Linked DNA regions of Oryctolagus cuniculus. The protein of the gene in region 3 interacts with the protein of the main gene of each other region in a pairwise test. Links are inferred from orthologs where the notes say so. Each region holds a gene or a part of one and is shown on either strand. Other genes may lie near its edges. The genes, in order: TMCC2, SAMD3, HSPD1, CEP70 and LZTS2.

Evidence for each region.
Region 1: the proteins of HSPD1 (region 3) and TMCC2 interact in a two-hybrid assay, tested with the Homo sapiens proteins (2 studies listed by BioGRID). The two-hybrid records come from large-scale screens. The link is inferred for Oryctolagus cuniculus from reciprocal best matches to the Homo sapiens genes HSPD1 and TMCC2.
Region 2: the proteins of HSPD1 (region 3) and SAMD3 interact in binary tests that used the Homo sapiens proteins (3 or more experiments, as listed by UniProt). The two-hybrid records come from large-scale screens. The link is inferred for Oryctolagus cuniculus from reciprocal best matches to the Homo sapiens genes HSPD1 and SAMD3.
Region 4: the proteins of HSPD1 (region 3) and CEP70 interact in binary tests that used the Homo sapiens proteins (3 or more experiments, as listed by UniProt). The two-hybrid records come from large-scale screens. The link is inferred for Oryctolagus cuniculus from reciprocal best matches to the Homo sapiens genes HSPD1 and CEP70.
Region 5: the proteins of HSPD1 (region 3) and LZTS2 interact in binary tests that used the Homo sapiens proteins (3 or more experiments, as listed by UniProt). The two-hybrid records come from large-scale screens. The link is inferred for Oryctolagus cuniculus from reciprocal best matches to the Homo sapiens genes HSPD1 and LZTS2.

The regions. Positions count from the first base shown.
Region 1 is NC_091444.1:20,627,808-20,630,432, forward strand, and holds the end of TMCC2 (transmembrane and coiled-coil domains protein 2), read left to right. Parts: intron 1-537; coding exon 538-673; intron 674-922; coding exon 923-1,234; 3' UTR 1,235-2,122; downstream 2,123-2,625.
Region 2 is NC_091436.1:38,930,239-38,933,756, forward strand, and holds part of SAMD3 (sterile alpha motif domain-containing protein 3), read left to right. Parts: intron 1-2,448; coding exon 2,449-2,556; intron 2,557-3,518.
Region 3 is NC_091434.1:42,771,210-42,774,727, forward strand, and holds part of HSPD1 (60 kDa heat shock protein, mitochondrial), read left to right. Parts: coding exon 1-110; intron 111-1,529; coding exon 1,530-1,629; intron 1,630-2,560; coding exon 2,561-2,806; intron 2,807-3,511; coding exon 3,512-3,518. UniProt on the Homo sapiens protein: Chaperonin implicated in mitochondrial protein import and macromolecular assembly. Together with Hsp10, facilitates the correct folding of imported proteins.
Region 4 is NC_091435.1:143,243,403-143,246,920, reverse strand, and holds part of CEP70 (centrosomal protein of 70 kDa), read right to left. Parts: intron 3,046-3,518; coding exon 2,899-3,045; intron 2,719-2,898; coding exon 2,550-2,718; exon of another isoform or gene 2,249-2,549; intron 1,901-2,248; coding exon 1,786-1,900; intron 444-1,785; coding exon 364-443; intron 1-363.
Region 5 is NC_091446.1:28,872,956-28,877,219, reverse strand, and holds the start of LZTS2 (leucine zipper putative tumor suppressor 2), read left to right. Parts: upstream 1-1,456; 5' UTR 1,457-1,701; intron 1,702-1,839; exon of another isoform or gene 1,840-2,564; 5' UTR 2,565-2,634; coding exon 2,635-2,685; intron 2,686-4,264. UniProt on the Homo sapiens protein: Negative regulator of katanin-mediated microtubule severing and release from the centrosome. Required for central spindle formation and the completion of cytokinesis.

The DNA.
Region 1 (2,625 bases), on a different chromosome or scaffold from region 3:
AGGTGCTTCTCCTGGTCTCCCATGGGGTGCAGGGCCCAAGCACTTGGGCCATCCTCCACTGCACTCCCTGGCCACAGCAGAGAGCTGGCCTGGAAGAGGGGCAACCGGGACAGAATCCGGTGCCCCAACCGGGACTAGAACCTGGTGTGCCAGCGCCGCAAGGCGGAGGATTAGCCTAGTGAGCCGTGGCGCTGGCCAAAAAATAAGCTTTTGATTCCATTTTTCCACCAGCCTCTGGAAGGACCTCGTAAGTAAGGAAGGTTTGGGTTGTGCAGCGGTCAGCCAGGCTGAAGGCAGCCAGGCCCGAATGCCTCCCTGCCCCAGCTGTGTGATCCTGGGCAGAGCAGGCTCCTTACCAGCTGTGCCTCAGTCTTCCTGTCTGTACAATGGGTACAGCATGTCCTGTCTGGGGCAGGAGTGGTGGGGGTGGTGTGGATCGAAGGCCGAGCACGAGGCCTGCCTGTGGACACATGGGGTGGGCCGAGTGACCGTTTCGAGAAGGAGCCAGGCCAGCCCTCAGCCCCTTCCCTGTCCCAGGTACGAGCGGCTGGAGGAGCAGCTCAACGACCTGACCGAGCTGCACCAGAACGAGATGACAAACCTGAAGCAGGAGCTGGCCAGCATGGAGGAGAAGGTGGCCTACCAGTCCTACGAGCGGGCACGGGACATCCAGGTGGGTGGGGACAGAGCTCAGAGGGGGAGGGAGGGAGGCAGGCCCGGGGCTGGGGGGGGGGGCACCGTGCAACGGCAGGCCGCGGGGGAGGACTGCTGTGCCCCCAGCTCTGCTGGCAGCCCGAGAGAGCTGGGCTGGGCCGGCTCCTCTCCTTCCCGCACACTCCTTTCCTAATAAGCCTTGTCCTTGCTGGGAGGGCTGGGTGGGGCCGGGGTCCCGCCCCCCTGAGCTCCCCTGCGCCCCCTGCAGGAGGCCGTGGAGTCCTGCCTGACCCGGGTCACCAAGCTGGAGCTGCAGCAGCAGCAGCAGCAGGTGGTGCAGCTGGAGGGCGTGGAGAACGCCAACGCGCGGGCACTGCTGGGCAAGTTCATTAACGTGATCCTGGCGCTCATGGCCGTGCTGCTGGTGTTCGTGTCCACCGTGGCCAGCTTCATCACGCCGCTCATGAAGACGCGCCTGCGCATCGGCAGCACCGCCCTGCTGCTCCTCGTCCTGCTCCTCCTCTGGAAGCACTGGGACTCCGTCACCTACCTCCTGGAGCACGTGCTGCTGCCCAGCTGAGCGGCCCGCCCGCCCCCGCCCCCGCCCCCGCCGTGCTGCCCGCCCGCTGGCCACACTTCTCCAGGGGGGACCCCGGGACTCCCAGGTCCCTTCGACTTCTTCCCGTCCGTTCCAGCAGCTCCTGCCCCTCCTCTGCCCCTGCTTCTGTCTCTCGCCTTCTCCCTGCTGGCCTAAAGAAAGCTCCATGTGAGACACGGGCGGCCAGGTGGAGCCGGAGGGGACGGCGGCACTGGACTGTGGCCATGATGTCTGTCTCCTGGCCACCCGCAGGATGGCCGGGCTCAGGAGGGCCACCGAGAAGAGGAGGAGGAAGAGGAGGGGCTGCGCCCCCCGAGGCAGCTGCCGGGAGCCCAGGCCCTCGCCCCACTTGCTCCAGGCCTGGTTCTGGGCTGCCTTGAGCCCGGTGGACGTGGCTCGAGCCTTCCTGCCTGTCGCTGGATCTGCCACTTTCAGGGAAACAGGCTCGGGGGGCGGGGGGCCCAGCCTCAGCCCTGAGGCCTCCTGCAGCACACCGGGCTCTGTTTGTTTATTTATTTGTCCCCTTGTCCCTTACCCCCGTCTTCCCCGCCGAGCCCCTCTCTCTGGAGCCGGGGCCTGTTCTGGCCACGCGGCCTCTGCCTGGTCCCGGCTGCAGGCGGGGGCTCCCGGCGGGAGCGTGGCCTCTCTTTTATACGTCTATTTATTTTGTACGTGTGTACCTGTGTGCAGGAGGGTGTCTGTCTCTGTGTTTTTTTAAGGCTCCCGAGTGTCGTGTATGGATTCTCTTCACGTCCCAGCCTCCCCATGGGCACTTTCCAGAGGGGGGATCTCTCGGGAAAGGAGCGGGAGAGCAGTGCCTGCGGCCGCTGTGCACCTCCCTGGGAAATAAACACCCTCTCGGTTTTCAAACCGTCCTGTCTGGCGTTGGCTGATTCGCTGGTCTCTGCAAGACCCAGCCTTCTGGGTGACAAGGGCTGGGCCACACCTGTTGGCCTGTGCTCATCTTACTCTAGGATCTCCCTGCCTGGCTTTGTGCAGCCCAAACTCTGGCCTCGGTGATGTGATAGGGAGAGGCGACGTCAGCCCTCTCCAGCTCCATCCAGCCCTCCTGGAGCGCCTCCCAGAAAGAGACTTGGGAGGGAGTTTGTTGAGCAGATAATAAGGCACCAGGGGCCTGGATGACAGCAGTCATGCCCAAGTGTGGCCACAAGAGGGCAGCAGAGACCTTACTCCACGCATCTGGCTCTCGCTCTCACTCTCTCACTTTCTTTCTCTCTCTCTCTCTGGTCCCCAGGAGGCCACCTTGGGGGCTAGCCTGGCCTTATCAAGGTATTTGCTCACCAGGCACCCGTGTGTGTTCTGAAGTAGTGTCTGCCCCCTGCCTGTGGCCCCCACTCCCAGTGGTTCCCACA
Region 2 (3,518 bases), on a different chromosome or scaffold from region 3:
GTTGTTTTTGGATAGGTCAGACTTGTGAGTGGAAGTTCTTTCAGTTGACTGGAATCTTGATATTGCCTTAGGCACAGCTAGGAGAAAACAGGCAAGTTTGTCTACTGTAGATCAGTGTATGCTATTGTCTAGTCAATGAGAACTGACCGCACTGCCAGGGAATCTGGGCTTCATTCCTGGTTCTACCACTGACTTAGACTGATGATTTTCAAAGTTGGCACTCCCATGTCTTCGTCTGTGAAAAGCAATGCGCTACCTAAGTCCTTATTAATTTACACTGATGTTACAAGTATATTAATCTTCCAGAGAATCAGCTCCCTTTCTCAGCCAAAACAGTCCTGTGCTCATTATCAAGCTTTGTTAACCTGGTTAAGAAAGCTGGTTGCAAATGTAGCCAAGTCTTTCAAGACTTGCTGTCCAGTAGGGGCTTTCCACTCTATCCGCTAGGCATGAGTCACTTGAAGGATTGTGTTGCCTGGCATTTGGGTTAAATTAGTGTTATGAAATCACAATTGCCTGTGAGTAGAATGCTTATTGTTTGTATGAGTGTACTTCAAAAAGATTGTGGAAAAATTGAATTAAAATATAAGTATATTTTTGCACAAAAGGATTTTGAAATCCATAAGGAAACTTTTCATAATATGCTTTTCCCACCAACTTTTTGAAAACCCTTGATATTCACTCACTACTAAGTATTTTGTTATAACTTCAAGTGTGAATGATGATTGAAAGAAGCATGGATATATGTCATTTAATTAATGCCTGTTGGAAAGTGCTTAATAAAGATAGACGTGGTATAAGAAGACATCCTAAAGCTGGCTATCAAAGCACTCAGTTTCACACCCCTGATAGGATGTTAGATAGTCCTCTCACCTTGACTTCTCCTAGTTTCAACTTCAACTGTAAAATCAAGTGGGGAGCATAAATGATGCTTTAGGTTGGCATTCTAGATTACAGATAGCAGATGGGTTTCAACTTGAGTGACATTCCACTTCCTGGGTAATGCTGCCCAGGGCATTATTTTGAAAAGCATCCTTAGGGCATATTTGGGCAGAGTATTTGGCATCCTATTTAGACTTAAGAGAATGATTGAACTATGCAATAGGTGAGACTATTTACTGGTATTTTTGGTTGTTGCTCTTGTTGAAGCTGCTAGAAAAATCACTGGACTGGATGTTGGAAAAACTGATCTGAAACCTTGTCACTGCTACTGTGCAGCCTGTGACCATGAGTGAGCTGTTCTCCCTCCTGGATTCCAGTTGCTTCACTTGGAAAATGAGGATGTTAGTGGAATATGGTTCTAAGATTATGAGATTTCACAAAGAATAAAATGTCCTCCAAAATGACAACAAGTAGAGAAGGGATCACATAGAGTTTACCATTTTATTTTACCAAGTAAGAATATTAACTTAAAAAAGATACATTCTATTGTCATTATCATTTCAGAAAGGAAAGGATGATCCTAACACCATTTTTTATTTTGCAAACACTTTCTTTTTTTAAAAAACTTTTATTGTATAAATATAAATTTCTGAAGTACAACTTTTGGATTATAGCAGCTTTCCCCCCCCATAACCTCCCTCCCACCCGCAACCATCCCATTTCCCACTCCCTCTCCCATCCCATTCACATCATGATTCATTTTCAATTATCTTTATATACAGAAAATCAATTTAGTATATATTAAGTAAAGATTTCAACAGTTTACACCCACACAGAAATACAAAGTATAAAGTACTGTGTGAGTACTAGTTATACCATTTAATTCACATAGTACAACACATTAAGGACAGAGATCCTACATGGGAGTATGACGTCAGTAATCACCCGAGGCTCTTGTCATGAGCTACCAAGGTTATGGAAGCCTCTTGAATTTGCCAACTGCGATCTTATTTAGATAAGGCCATAGTCAAAGTGGAAGTTCTCTCCTCCTTTCAGAGAAAGGTACCTCCTTCCTTGATGGCCTGTTCTTTCCGCTGGGACTTCACTCACAGAGATCTTTCATTTAGGTCATTTTTTTGTTTGTTTGCTAGATTGTCTTGGCTTTCCATGCCTGAAATACTCTCATGGGCTTTTTAGCCAGATCTGAATGCCTTAAGGGCTGATTCTGAGGCCAGAGTGCTATTTAGGGCATCTGCCATTCTATGAGTCTACTGTGTATCCCGCTTCCCATGTGATCCTAACACCATTTAAAAATATGATAGATGGGTGAAAGTAGTATGATGAACTGGCATCGCTCTCCCTCCCTACTTATAGGAACCACTGAGTGAGATGACTCCAGAGGGTCCTTCTTCCAAGTATCTTAGTTATGAGGCTCGTGGGGAGCTTGGACATGGACAGAGATCATGTTACCTGCGATTTGACCTCTAATCTCAGAGCTGCTATCAGATCAATGCTTATAGCTCCTGTTGAATAGCGCTTGACCCACCTCTTCTTTCTTGGTTACAGAGATGAACAGTCTTCCAGTCTAGCCAGCTGTGAGGAACAGACACCATCGTTTTACCCAGCTGACAACCTAGATAATGGACAAATCGACCAAAGAGTATTGAAACAGAGGTAAAGTGCTGACTGTATATATATTGAAGCCAAATGATAACATTCTTTTTGAAATGAGCTTTCTTGTGTTTAAATATATTTCTAATGTTAGGTGTTTTGCTATCCTGGAAGGGAATTTTATTGTCAAGTAGTGAAAATATTTGCTAAAAGATAAAGGTTATATTTTATGATCTTCACATTGGAAAAGCAAAGTTCTAAAATTATACATATCCTTCAAGTACATATACTTAAGATAAAAGAGGATTTCTCTGCCATAAACTGCCATAAACTGCAAAAGATGATGTTTATTTCATGAATAATGTTCTGTAGAATAGGCCTTTAGTGGAGTCTTTGTTCTGAATTTTGTAGTTGTTGCTTTAGCTTGACTATTCTTGATAGCAACCCAGTTTTGGAAAACTTTTCCTTTATATTTCTACACTGGATTTTATATGGTACAGTATTTCAATATATGGCTTACGTTAGAATAAAGGGAATGTATAGACCTAGAGAAGCATACACAGGAATGTGGAGCCCAGACAGTCTCAAGAGCGATGGTAGGTAACGTGTGGCCAAGTTCCTCAATCATTGAAAGAGGGGCTGTTGCAAAGGGAGAATAACAGGTAAGAGCCAAGCAAGGTGCGACCTCTTATAGTTCTCACAAACCCTTTATGTTGCCATCTCATTTAGTCCACACAGCAATCCTGCAGAGTAGGTGTTATTTTCTCTTCTGTGAGTGAAACTTAGTTTTAGAGAAGAAGTTTTCCTGAATGGCTTTGTCACCTTGGCACAGGATCCACAACCATCAGGGCAAGAGCACCAGCCTCAGACTCAGGTCTGTGAGGTCCCAGCAACCCCATGTGTGCAGAGAAGAGCAGCTCTTCTCATATGAACTCTTGCATGGGTATTGGCTCTGGGCTGTCCTCTCTGAACTGTTTCCCTCTCTACCACCTCCAGCCTCCCATGCCAGTGCTCAGGTCCATCTC
Region 3 (3,518 bases):
GTCCAATCCATCGTACCTGCTCTTGAAATTGCCAATGCTCACCGTAAGCCCCTGGTCATAATTGCTGAAGATGTTGATGGAGAAGCTCTGAGTACACTTGTTTTGAATAGGTAATAAGCAGTGTATTTGATACTTCACATTTCCTGATGAAGAACTTGTATTGATGTTTGAAATCTCCATTATGTTCCTCCATATTCTATCAACCTGTGTTTGTATCTAGATTTGTAGTGTATATGAAAGTTCTTTACAAAATTTGTGTAAAAAGCCTCTTATGGAAAAAACTGCATGGTTTTAAATTGTTTCTTTGGACCAAACTATCTTTAGTTCTATTTTTTATCAGCTTTTTGGAGTACAGGTGTGCTGCTTGCATCTTCATGTTTCAGAAGACTTTAAGAATTATTTTTATTTATTTGAAAGACAACATCAGGGAGAGATGTCCATCACTGGTTCACTCCCTAAATGACTGCAACAGCCAGGGCTGGTCTAGGCTGAAGCCAGGAGCCTGAAACTCCATCTGGGTCTCCTATGTGGGTCACAGGGGCCCAAATACTTGGGCCATCTTCCACTGCTTTCCTGGATACATTAGCAGGGAGCTAAATTGGAAGCAAAGCAGTTGCTACTCAAACGGTGTTCTAATGTGGGATGCAGGTGTCACAGGCAGCAGTTTAACCTACTGTGCCACAAGCGAGCCCCGAGGAACACAAGGTAATTTTGCATGGAACAAGGAAGGAAGGAAATAATTGCCATTATAAAAACCTCATCCCTTAGTGTATTTAGTGATAAGTATTTCATATTCTCAAGTGAGAGAAATTAACACTCAACCTAAAATAAGATGAAGTCTATTCAACAAGTTTATAGTTTAATATTGGTTTTAACCTTGAAATAAGTAATGGTCATATTCTAAACAGTGCAAAGTTTTTGTTGAGCTGTTTACCGGTAGCTCTAAAGTCTTTGCCCAGTTTTCATAGCATATCATCATAGCTTATCCTAGTTTTTTATTTGTCTCAGTAAAATAGAGCGACACTGTCTTAAAGTTTTGTTCACAATCTGCTCTCTAATGGACATTTCTTTGATTATGATATTTCAAGTATTCATTTACCTGATAAAATTTCAGGTGAGTTTAACACTACAGTTTTGTATAACATTTATAAAAGAGCTAAATTTGGGACATTCTTTGTTCAAACTTAACTTTAACAATAACCCATAGAAGTCTTCATTAGATTACTCATTTACTTTTAATATTTTATAATTATTGTTTTCCATCACTCATAAAATAGTTGCTAATATGTCCTTAATTGTAATGTGATTTTTGCTTCTGGGTTCAGCGGTTCAACTGGAATGTGAGGCCAGCAGTTTATTAAGAAGGTAATCAGCTACAAAGAAGTATAGATGAGTAGAATATAGCTCTGTCTCCTACTTTTCCTCTTTTAATATGAACAGTTCTGGTAGTACCAGGACTTGAGAGGAACTAAACTAGATAGTAGGTATTTTTATTCAATTTAAGTCTCACCGTCTTCTGTCCTTAACAGGCTAAAAGTTGGTCTTCAGGTTGTAGCAGTCAAAGCTCCAGGTTTTGGTGACAATAGAAAGAACCAGCTTAAAGATATGGCTATTGCTACTGGTGGTGCAGTAAGTAAACTTAAGTTTTATATTTGTTTACTGAATGTTATTTATATTTCCAGGTCTAAAATTTAGAGAGAATTTAATTTTTCACAATTAGTTACTGTTTATTTTTAATTTTTAAAATTTATTTTTAAAAGACTTATTTATTTATTTGAAAGGCAGAGTTATAAGGAAAGGGGGGAGAGAGAGAGATCTTCCATCCATTGGTTCACTCTTCAAATGACCACAGTGGCCAGCGCTGGGCTATCTTCTGCTGCTTTTATCTCTGATTTGCCATGTTTTTGGCTTACTAAGAATGAGCTTTTTTACTAAATCTGCTTTCAGTTTTGAAAGTCAATAATGTGATAAAAAATAATCCATTGTGGGATTAAAGAATTTCAGCCTGGCCGGCGCCACGGCTCAGTAGGCTAATCCTCCGCCTTGTGGCGCCAGCACACCGGGTTCTAGTCCCGGTCGGGGCACCCGATTCTGCCCCGGTTGCCCCTCTTCCAGGCCAGCTCTCTGCTGTGGCCAGGGAGTGCAGTGGAGGATGGCCCAAGTGCTTGGGCCCTGCACCCCATGGGAGACCAGGAGAAGTACCTGGCTCCTGCCATCGGATCAGCGCAGTGCACTGGCCGCGGCGGCCATTGGAGGGTGAACCAACGGCAAAGGGAAGACCTTTCTCTCTGTCTCTCTCTCACTGTCCACTCTGCCTGTCAAAAAAAAAAAAAAAAAAAGAATTTCAGCTTATGGTCGGTATAGTCTCCCTTCCTTCAATAAGTGTGGCATTGAGTATTTCTCAAATTAGAATAATAGTGACTGGTAGAGTTGTGAAAACTGAGATGTTGAAAATGCAATGAAAGACAATTTAAATCTTCTTATAGACTTATGTTGGTCTTGAAGTCTGTTCATTTCAAAGAAGTACAGTATGATAACTTACAACTTTAAAATGTTGTAGGTATTTGGAGAAGAGGGATTGACCCTAAATCTTGAAGATGTTCAACCTCATGACTTAGGAAAAGTTGGAGAAGTCATTGTGACCAAAGATGATGCTATGCTTTTGAAAGGAAAAGGTGACAAGGCTCAAATTGAAAAACGTATTCAAGAAATCATCGAGCAGTTAGACATCACGACTAGTGAATATGAAAAAGAAAAACTGAATGAACGTCTTGCAAAGCTTTCAGATGGAGTAGCTGTGCTAAAGGTGAGATTCACTGTTGTATTGATTTTTGCTTCTATAGTATTTCCCAGTAGTACTGTGGAACCTAAATATTTGAGGGAGTAATGTGCTCATGGCAATATTCATTATGTAAAATTGTTTACCGAAACATTGCTTTTGTAAACTAGTTTTATGGGGGGAAATTGCTGTGGGAAAGATGCTCATGAGAAAGTCATTCTGGAATCTGTCTTTTGTGGGTTGTTGCAGTTCCTTTTAACAAGTAGGCAACATTTTTCCCCCCTTAAAATTGCATTTTAAGTAAACTGGATAGTTGTGTTTTTTTGTTTTTTTTTTAAGATTTATTTATTTATTTGAAAGTCAGAGTTACACAGAGAGAGGAGAGGCAGAGAAAGAGATCTTCTGTCCGATGGTTCATTCCCCAGATGGCCGAAATGGCTGGAGCTGTGCTGATCCAGAGCCAGGAGCTTCTTCCAGGTCTCCCACGTGGGTGCAGGGGCCCAAGGACTAGGGCCTTCTTGCACTGCTTTCCCAGGCCACAGCAGAGAGCTGGATCAGAAGTGGAGCAGCAGGGACTAGAACCAGCGCCCATATGGGATGCTGACACCTCAGGCCAGGGCTTTAACCCACTGCACTGCAGCGCTGGCTCCTGGATGATCTCTAAATGACCTTTTAGGTAGTCCACATCTTGAATGGGAGGAGCCATACTAACTGAAACTTCTGGAACTTCAGGTTGGTG
Region 4 (3,518 bases), on a different chromosome or scaffold from region 3:
CCCACGTATTAGCAGGGAGTTGGATGCCTTCCAAGATCATAAATTCTACCAAGATTTCTTATTATGCAATGACAATGCCAGGATCAACTGGGCATGACCAGAGTACTGCCATTTTTCTCAGAAGGCCCCAAAACAAAGGCAGTCCCGATCTCCTTAAAGAGTCTGTGTTTCCCTGCTCTGTGAACGAATCCCATCCAACTTTAACTACAAATTAGGAGGTTATTTCCAAAATTTGGTGATTTTCAGACAATTTCTAAAAAACACTGGAAGCAAAAATACTAACCCAGTGACCAAGGAACACTTATATTCAACCCACTGACATCTTAAAACTCAAAATTTAATCATTATCAACAGAGGTCTTACCTAAGATTTCAAGAAGATCGTTGGTAAATGCCTGAAATGCTGGGAAAAATTCCTCATGTTCTTCTAACTTCTTGATAATGCTGTTTTAAAAAACACACAATTTACACCAAGATTTCAACTTATGGTTGTTACATGTAGTTGCAGACATGGATGCAAACAGAACATTTTCAAACCACAAAGATACTATGCCAATTAATGATCAAAATACTATAATCCTTCCTTTTTGACCTCTTTGTTCACCTAAGACTGCATTTCTTAAAAAAAAAAAAAAGGAATATTATCAGTGTAGATACTTGTTAAATTTATGTAACAAAAATCCTAACATGGCAAACTTTTCATTTAGCTCTAGGCTTCTTAGGAAATATTTTTTAAACATTTTTAAAAAAATAAGTTTTTATAACCAGTAGCCTATTAAACATTAATAAAACTAGCAGTAATCAACAAAACCATGGGAAGGAGAAAAAAGCCAATATGGGATATATTTTGATTTTAAAAGCATCAAACATCAGCAAACTCAAGTGTCAGGTTATATACTGGTTATTCCAGGGAAAGTTACAGAATATATGAAGTATCTGGTATATATGTGTACTTTCCTTACCATATATTATAGTACAAAATTGGGGGTAAGGGATGGAGAAAGTTGCTGTAGGTACAGCCATAGTGTCTCAGTATTTTTAACAAACATTAAGTTTTGTTAGTGGTGCCTAGTCTTTTAAAAAATCCTTAACACTTATCTCCTTAACAGTAAAATACTGTTAGTGATTATTATGTGATCTACAGCAGTATGCTAAAAATAGGTCTTGTTGGGGCCTGCACCGTGGTATGGCCAGTGAAGGCACCACCTGTGGCACTGGCATCCCATATGGGCACCAGTTCAAGTCCCAGTTGCTCCACTTCCAATCTAGCACCCTGCCAATGTGCCTGGGAAAGCAGTGGAAGATGGCCCAATGCTTGTGTACCTGTACACATGTGGGAGACCTAGAAGAAGCTCCTGGCTTCAGTTTGGCCTAGATGGGCTCCACTCTGGCTATTGTGGTCATTTGAGGACTGAGCCAGATGATGGAAAATCTCTAATTCTGACTTTCAAATAAATAAATTAAAAAAAAAAAAAAAAAAAAAGGCTTGTTGACATAATCCAGAACTCATGAAATGGCTAAAAAGTTTGGCATTTCTCCATATATAACTTTAGGTTTATGCTGAAGAACTCCTGACCCACCTTATGGAAACTTAAAGGCCCTACAATCTGTTATTTTGAAATGACCTGGCATTTTCCCTGTTCCTATGGATGTGAGTTTATTTTAGGTTGTTAAGTTACTTAAAAGAGGATATTCCAAAAACAGAAGGTAGATAACTTATGTTATCTTTTCAAGTCTGTAATTTTACAACTTCTAGCACTACAGATGATACTGTTCAAACAAATACCTCTGGAGATCTTCAGGTCCTAATACTTGCTTAACCTGCTCGTTCACATCCTCATTAATCAGACTACACAGTTTTCCAACTGTGCTTACCAACACACACATTGATGATGAACTATCTGCAAAAAAGAAACAAAAGGACAGGATATTTAGGAGTGCTTGGCCTAGCAGTTAAGTTGGTGGCTGGGATGCCAGAGTGTGTTAGTTCAATGCCTGGCTCCAGCTCCAGTTCCTGATTTGTTTCCTGCTAATGTGGCCCATGGGAGGCAGTGGTGATGGCCACTGGCCATTGTGGGCATTTGGGGAGTGAACCAGCAGACAGAAGCTTGCTCTATAATAAGTAAATTTTATAAAGCAGGTAGGATACTTAAAAAGAGAATTTTCAAAATCAGTACAGCTACCAAACATTTTAGGCTTCAGGAAAGGACATTAAGCACAGTGGTGAAGATATTGTCCAAGACACCTACATCTCATATCAGAGTGCCTGGGTTTGAGTCCTGTCTCCGCTCCCAATTCCAGCTTCCTACTACTAGTCACCCACATGGGAAACCCAGATTGGGTTCCCAGATTCTGGCTTCAGCCTGGCCCAGCACCAACTGTTACAGACATCTGGAAAGTGAACTAGTAGATGGCAAATCTTAGTCTTTGACAAGTTAAAAAAAAAAAAAAAGATAAATTATTTTATGCTCCAGTTGTCCTCTTTTTACCTTGCTTTTGTTAATTAGAAATAATTATTAAATGGGGACCAAAAATGACAAAGGCCATCACCTAATTCTAGGAGTTCCTGGAGGTTTCTCACAGCATTGCTCATTTCTCCAAGCCTAGTGTAAACTTCATTCATTCGGGGATAGACTCCATTTAAAGAAGGTACATCAAATAATTTTTGGAAGTGAGAGACAATAGCTTGCAAAGTTTGAAAGTTTGGTACTTTGCTGTCCTGTCCAAAAGAGAGGGTGGGAAAGAAATACAGTAGACATTTTAAAATAATCCCAAATGTTTAATTAAAAAACACTTATTTTAAAAGAGAAATAGAATGTTAGTAGAATATGTAATATCCATATAAAATTTTAAGATAAAAGTATATTACATTTTGAACATTTATAAAAATAAATATTACCTTTTCCTTATTTTCAACTTCTTCCAACATGGTATCTACCATAAATAACAGATCACCAACTCTGATTCCTTCATTTTCATCCTGCTTCCTTAAATTATGCCAAGGTACCAGCTCTGCAGATAGTATTTTCAAGGACTTATACAAATCCTTTATAACAGAAGAAACTACATGGTATTATTGATTTATGTAAATATTTCTACAGTAACACTAATAAAACACAATTATCCAAGCAGCTTAAAAAATATATAGCCCAATTATATGTTTTATAAAACATACTATTACCAATTTAGAACAAGTGTTTTTTAAAACTAGGTTTCTTCAGGTAAATATAAGCTTTGCCAAAATATTATACATTGATTTTCCTGAATTTGTATGCTAAAGTAATGACATCTTATTATTATTACATGTTATTTAAATATATATTTGAATGACTGACACATAAATAATAAGTTTACCCTTATATTTTAGTTTTGGATTTTTTTATGATAGCTTTATTGAGATGATCACATACCATAAAGTTAATACCTATTGAATATATAATTCAGTATTTTTAGTATTACTACAGTAATGAGCAAATTTCATCACTAATTTCAGAGCATACTCATCACCCTCAAAAGAAA
Region 5 (4,264 bases), on a different chromosome or scaffold from region 3:
CCAAGGGAGCCGGGCTGGTGCCTCGCTCCCCGGCCCCACCCCCCAGCACTCCACCATGCTGATCCCAGCTGCTGCCTGAGCCTCCGGGCGCGCTGCCAGCAAGGGGAGGCGGCTCTGAGTGCCCCAGGAGGCCGGGATCAGGGCACGACCAGAGGAAGGGGCTCTCCACTGGGGAAGGGGCTCAGTCTGTTTTTGCGAAGCTGAGGGTCTGGGGTGAGCCTGAGGTTGGCTGGGCTATGTTTCCCTTTCCAGGGAAAAAGAAAGAAAAACAACCCATCGAGCTAAAAATAGAGCTGAGCGCCGGCCAGGGCTGTGGCCTGGAAGGGGGGGATGCTCCTTCCTGGGGCAGAGCCCAGCTCTGGCTGGCCTTGGCCCTGCGGGGGAGGGCTGCCGTCTGGGCGAGGGAGGCCGTCCTCGCCAAGGCCAGCGGGCATCAGCTGACCTGGCCAGGTCACAGAGACCCCTAAGGAAAGGTCTGTGTGATAGAGTGCATGCAAAACACGGTGTGCAGTATGAGAAGCTGTTTGTGAGTACTGCGAGGCTGTCAGCATGTGAAAGATGCTGGGAGGTGCGAGGGCCTGCGAGTTGTTGTGAAAGACTTAATGCACAACCGGTGTGACGCGGGGCTGCGCGGGAGCTGGCCTGGGAGTGCATGGAAGGAGGCCTGGGGGACCACGTGACGGATGAAGCTCTGCGATTGCGGCTGCCCGAGACTGAATGTGGGAAAGGTCGTGTGGGTGTTAAGATGTTGTTTCCAAGAGGGTGAGCATATGCGTGACCCTGAGGAGACCGTGGAATGTTGTCTGGTGGGAAGCTGGTGTAGGCTTGGGCTGTGCCTTTCCACTGGGGAGGCCAGAAGCCGCCCTTCCCCGGGCAATGACCCTTCTCTTAGCCAGCGACTCCAAGGGAAAGTTGGGGAGTCCAGAGCCGCGCCAAGGGCAGGCCTGGGCTGGCGTCCACGGGCACGGGCTGTGGAGTGGGAGAAGACCCCCCTGGGTCGGGGGGCGAGTAGATGTGCTCTGAGAACCGACCGCCAGGTGGCGCCGCCTCCGCAGATCCTCGTGTACCGCCTCCAGCCCGCTGTGGGGTGGGCCAGGCAGGGACCTGGCCGCGGCCCCCGACTAGTGCTGGGGCGCAGGGCCCCGGCAGCCGAGGAGCGGCGGGCAGCTGACCCTCGGCTTCCCGCTCTGGACTCTGAAGCTGGAGAGTGTCTGGGGCGGGCTTCGATTAGAGAAGCGAGGGGGAGGGGCCGCCGCGCCGCGCCTTGGCCCTTTGTGCTCGAACAATGACCAGCTGCCGCTGGCCCCGGGGCCCGGCTCTGGTAGGGGGTGACCCGCCCGCCGAATCCACAGCCGACCGAGCCGTCCGACACGCAGTCACCGAGACTCGGCGGGAGGGGTCCCGCTCGCCGCCGCGCAGCCCCTGCGTGCGCCCCAGCAGACACGCGTGACGTGGGGTGCCTGCGCGTGTCCGCGCCCCGGGGCGGGGACGCCCCTCGGACCCCTCCCCCGCGCCGCCCCGCGCCGCGCCGCCCACTCGGGCCGGGAGGGGACTGGCCCGGGCCGGGTGCGCCGCCGAGGCGGAGGCGGGGCCCGGCCGGGTCGGGCCGCTCCGAGTGGCCGCGCGCGGGCCGGAGCCGGGCGGCGCGCCTGTGGAGCGCTTGGGGCGGCCCGGGGCTGAGCATGGAGCAGCGCGGCGGAGGTGAGGGGGAGGCCGGGGCCGGGAGGAGACCCGGGGTCGCCCCCAACTTCTGTGCGGCGGCGTCGGGAGGGGAGGCGGCGTTCGGCGGCCGCCGTGCTGGTGGGGGGGGGGGGTCGTCGGCTGAGTGGGGGTGGGCGGGGGGAGGGGTCCCGGCTTCCTGCCTCGGAATGGGAACTCGGATCCCAGACTTGAGCCTGCGTGACTGTTCTTGGAGTTGAGGTGGGAGGGCGACTTTCCCGAACTCCTCAGCCCCCAAAACAGGTCTGCGCGAGCTCGGAGCGCGGCCAGAGCCGTCGCTGGCCCTGGCTGAGCCCCAGCCCTCAGCCCTCCGTCCTGCCCACCGCGGCGATTACTCGGGAGAGCGAGGGGTTCCCTTTGCCCACAGCCACGGCGCATTTCTCAAAATGGAGCCTCGGCTTGCCCCTCCTTCTCAGTCGGGCTCTGAGAGCGGGAGTCCTACTGGCTGGGCCTGGCTGGCCGGCTTTCGTCGCTCTGGGTCTGGGGGGCCTTGGCCTCTTGCGGTTCCGGGGCCTGGCGCCATGGGCCGGCCTGCCTGGCTTCCTTGGCCGCCTGACCCCCGCGCCTCCCTGAGCCTTTGTCTCGGCCTTTGGCTCTTTCTCCGAGTGGGCCCATCGCCTTCCTTCAGTTTTCACTTTTCTCTGTGCTCCCTGAAGAGGAGAAATGCGGACAGAAATGCCAGCCCGCATGGCCCCCTTAGCAGCCCCTTCCCCCGTCCTGTCCGTGCCTTACGTGGCCCTGCAGAGGGAGGAGGAGGCTCCCGGGTGCCCGCGTTGCCCAGGGCTGGAGCTTGGGGTGCTGTCAGGCCCCAGCCCTGCAGCCAGGCCCACCATTGCTCCCAGCAGCTCCTCCGGCAGTCTGGACTGACACCGACCTGGTTCTTGGTGTCTTTTCACTTGGGTAGAGAGGAAAGGGATGAACTCGATGGAACACAAGCAAGAAAGAAGGGGAACAGCTCGGACAAAGGTGGTTCCCCCTCTCCCCACACTCCAGAGTGAAAACTGGCGGGTTCCCTCGCACTCCCCGGTGCCCGACATGCCTGCCCTCAGAGCCTTCTCTGTGGGTAACCCGGCTCTGGCCGGCCTGCTGTGCACACACAGGAGTTCGCGGGGGGGAACCCATGTCCTGGGTTCCTCTTCAGCATCTCAGCACACTCACCTGTTACCTGTGCATTTACTACTCCTGCGTACTTGCATGGTGACCCTTAATTACACACGCATACGTGTGAGGTTCACACGTTAGTTCACACCTAGACGGGTGTATGTATTGAACATGTCCAAACACACACTCATGTTTTCACACGCATTATTCCTGGCACGCAGTGCTCACTCTGCTGCCCCTGGGCATAAAGGCGGCCATGAAGACCTGTACACGCACACATTCCTACTCCCAGGAAGTTTTCTGTCCGCCTCCTTGGCCTGCACGTTCTGCATGATGATTTCGGCAGATGCCAGAGCCCTGGTGCTCTGCGGCCTCGGGACCGGAGGGAGTTCCCCAGGGAGGCTTGCTCTCCCCTTCCAGGAAGGAGCAGAGCCCGGGGAGGTGGTGAGGTCTTGGAGCAGCTGCCAGAAGTGATGGTGGGGCTTCCGCCTCCATCGGGGTTTCTCTGGAGATGGCGGAAGCTGGAAGCTTCTGATAGAGGTTGGAGTCGGGCAGCGCCCATGAAGGCTCCTTTAGGCCCCATGTCACACCCTGACTGGGTATGGAGAGGGTAGGGGTTGTCATAGAAACAAGCAAGTGCCTGCATCACCTCCAGGAGGCAGGTGTGTGTGCCCTGAGAGCTGTGGACTGCCTGTTTGGCCAGCTCCACCCTTGCCGCCTCTCTGTCTGGGAGAAACTGAGGCCCAATAGGGGGAGGTGGGGCGCTGCTTGGCCTTGGCTCTTTGTTCCCTAATTATTGTCTGAGTTGCTGGTGGTGTCCTTGAGGTTGTCGCTGCCCAAACTGCCCTGTAACGAGGCCACCTGTCCCAGGAGACTGGGGACCTGGGCCAGGTGCTGGGAGAGAGGGCTTCTTGCCTAACCTGAGTCCTGGTCTCCGTGGGGCTGCAGGTCTGGGTCTGGGCCTCCACTGCCAGGTGGCCCTGTGCAGGCTTCCGATCCCTTCATCTCTGCCTGGTGGCCCTGTGCAGACCAGGGAGCAGTGGTCTGGGGCCCAGAGAGAAATGAGATTCGTGCCAGTACTTGGAAGAGGAGCCTTGGGGGGGGGGGGGGGTCAGGGCGTTGTTACTCATGTCAGGAAGGCGTTTGGCCTGGATCAGGGGACAGCACAGGGACTCAAGGCCTTGTATAGGGAGAGGGTATAGGATGCTGGGATTCTTTTTGTTTTGTTTTGTTTTGACAGGCAGAGTGGACAGTGAGAGAGAGACAGAGAGAAAGGTCTTCCCTTGCCGTTGGTTTACCCTCCAATGGCCACCACGGCCGGCGCACTGCGCCTATCCGAAGGCAGGAGCCAGGTGCTTCTCCTGGTCTCCCATGGGGTGCAGGGCCCAAGCACTTGGGCCATCCTCCACTGCACTCCCAGGCCACAGCAGAGAGCTGGCCTGGA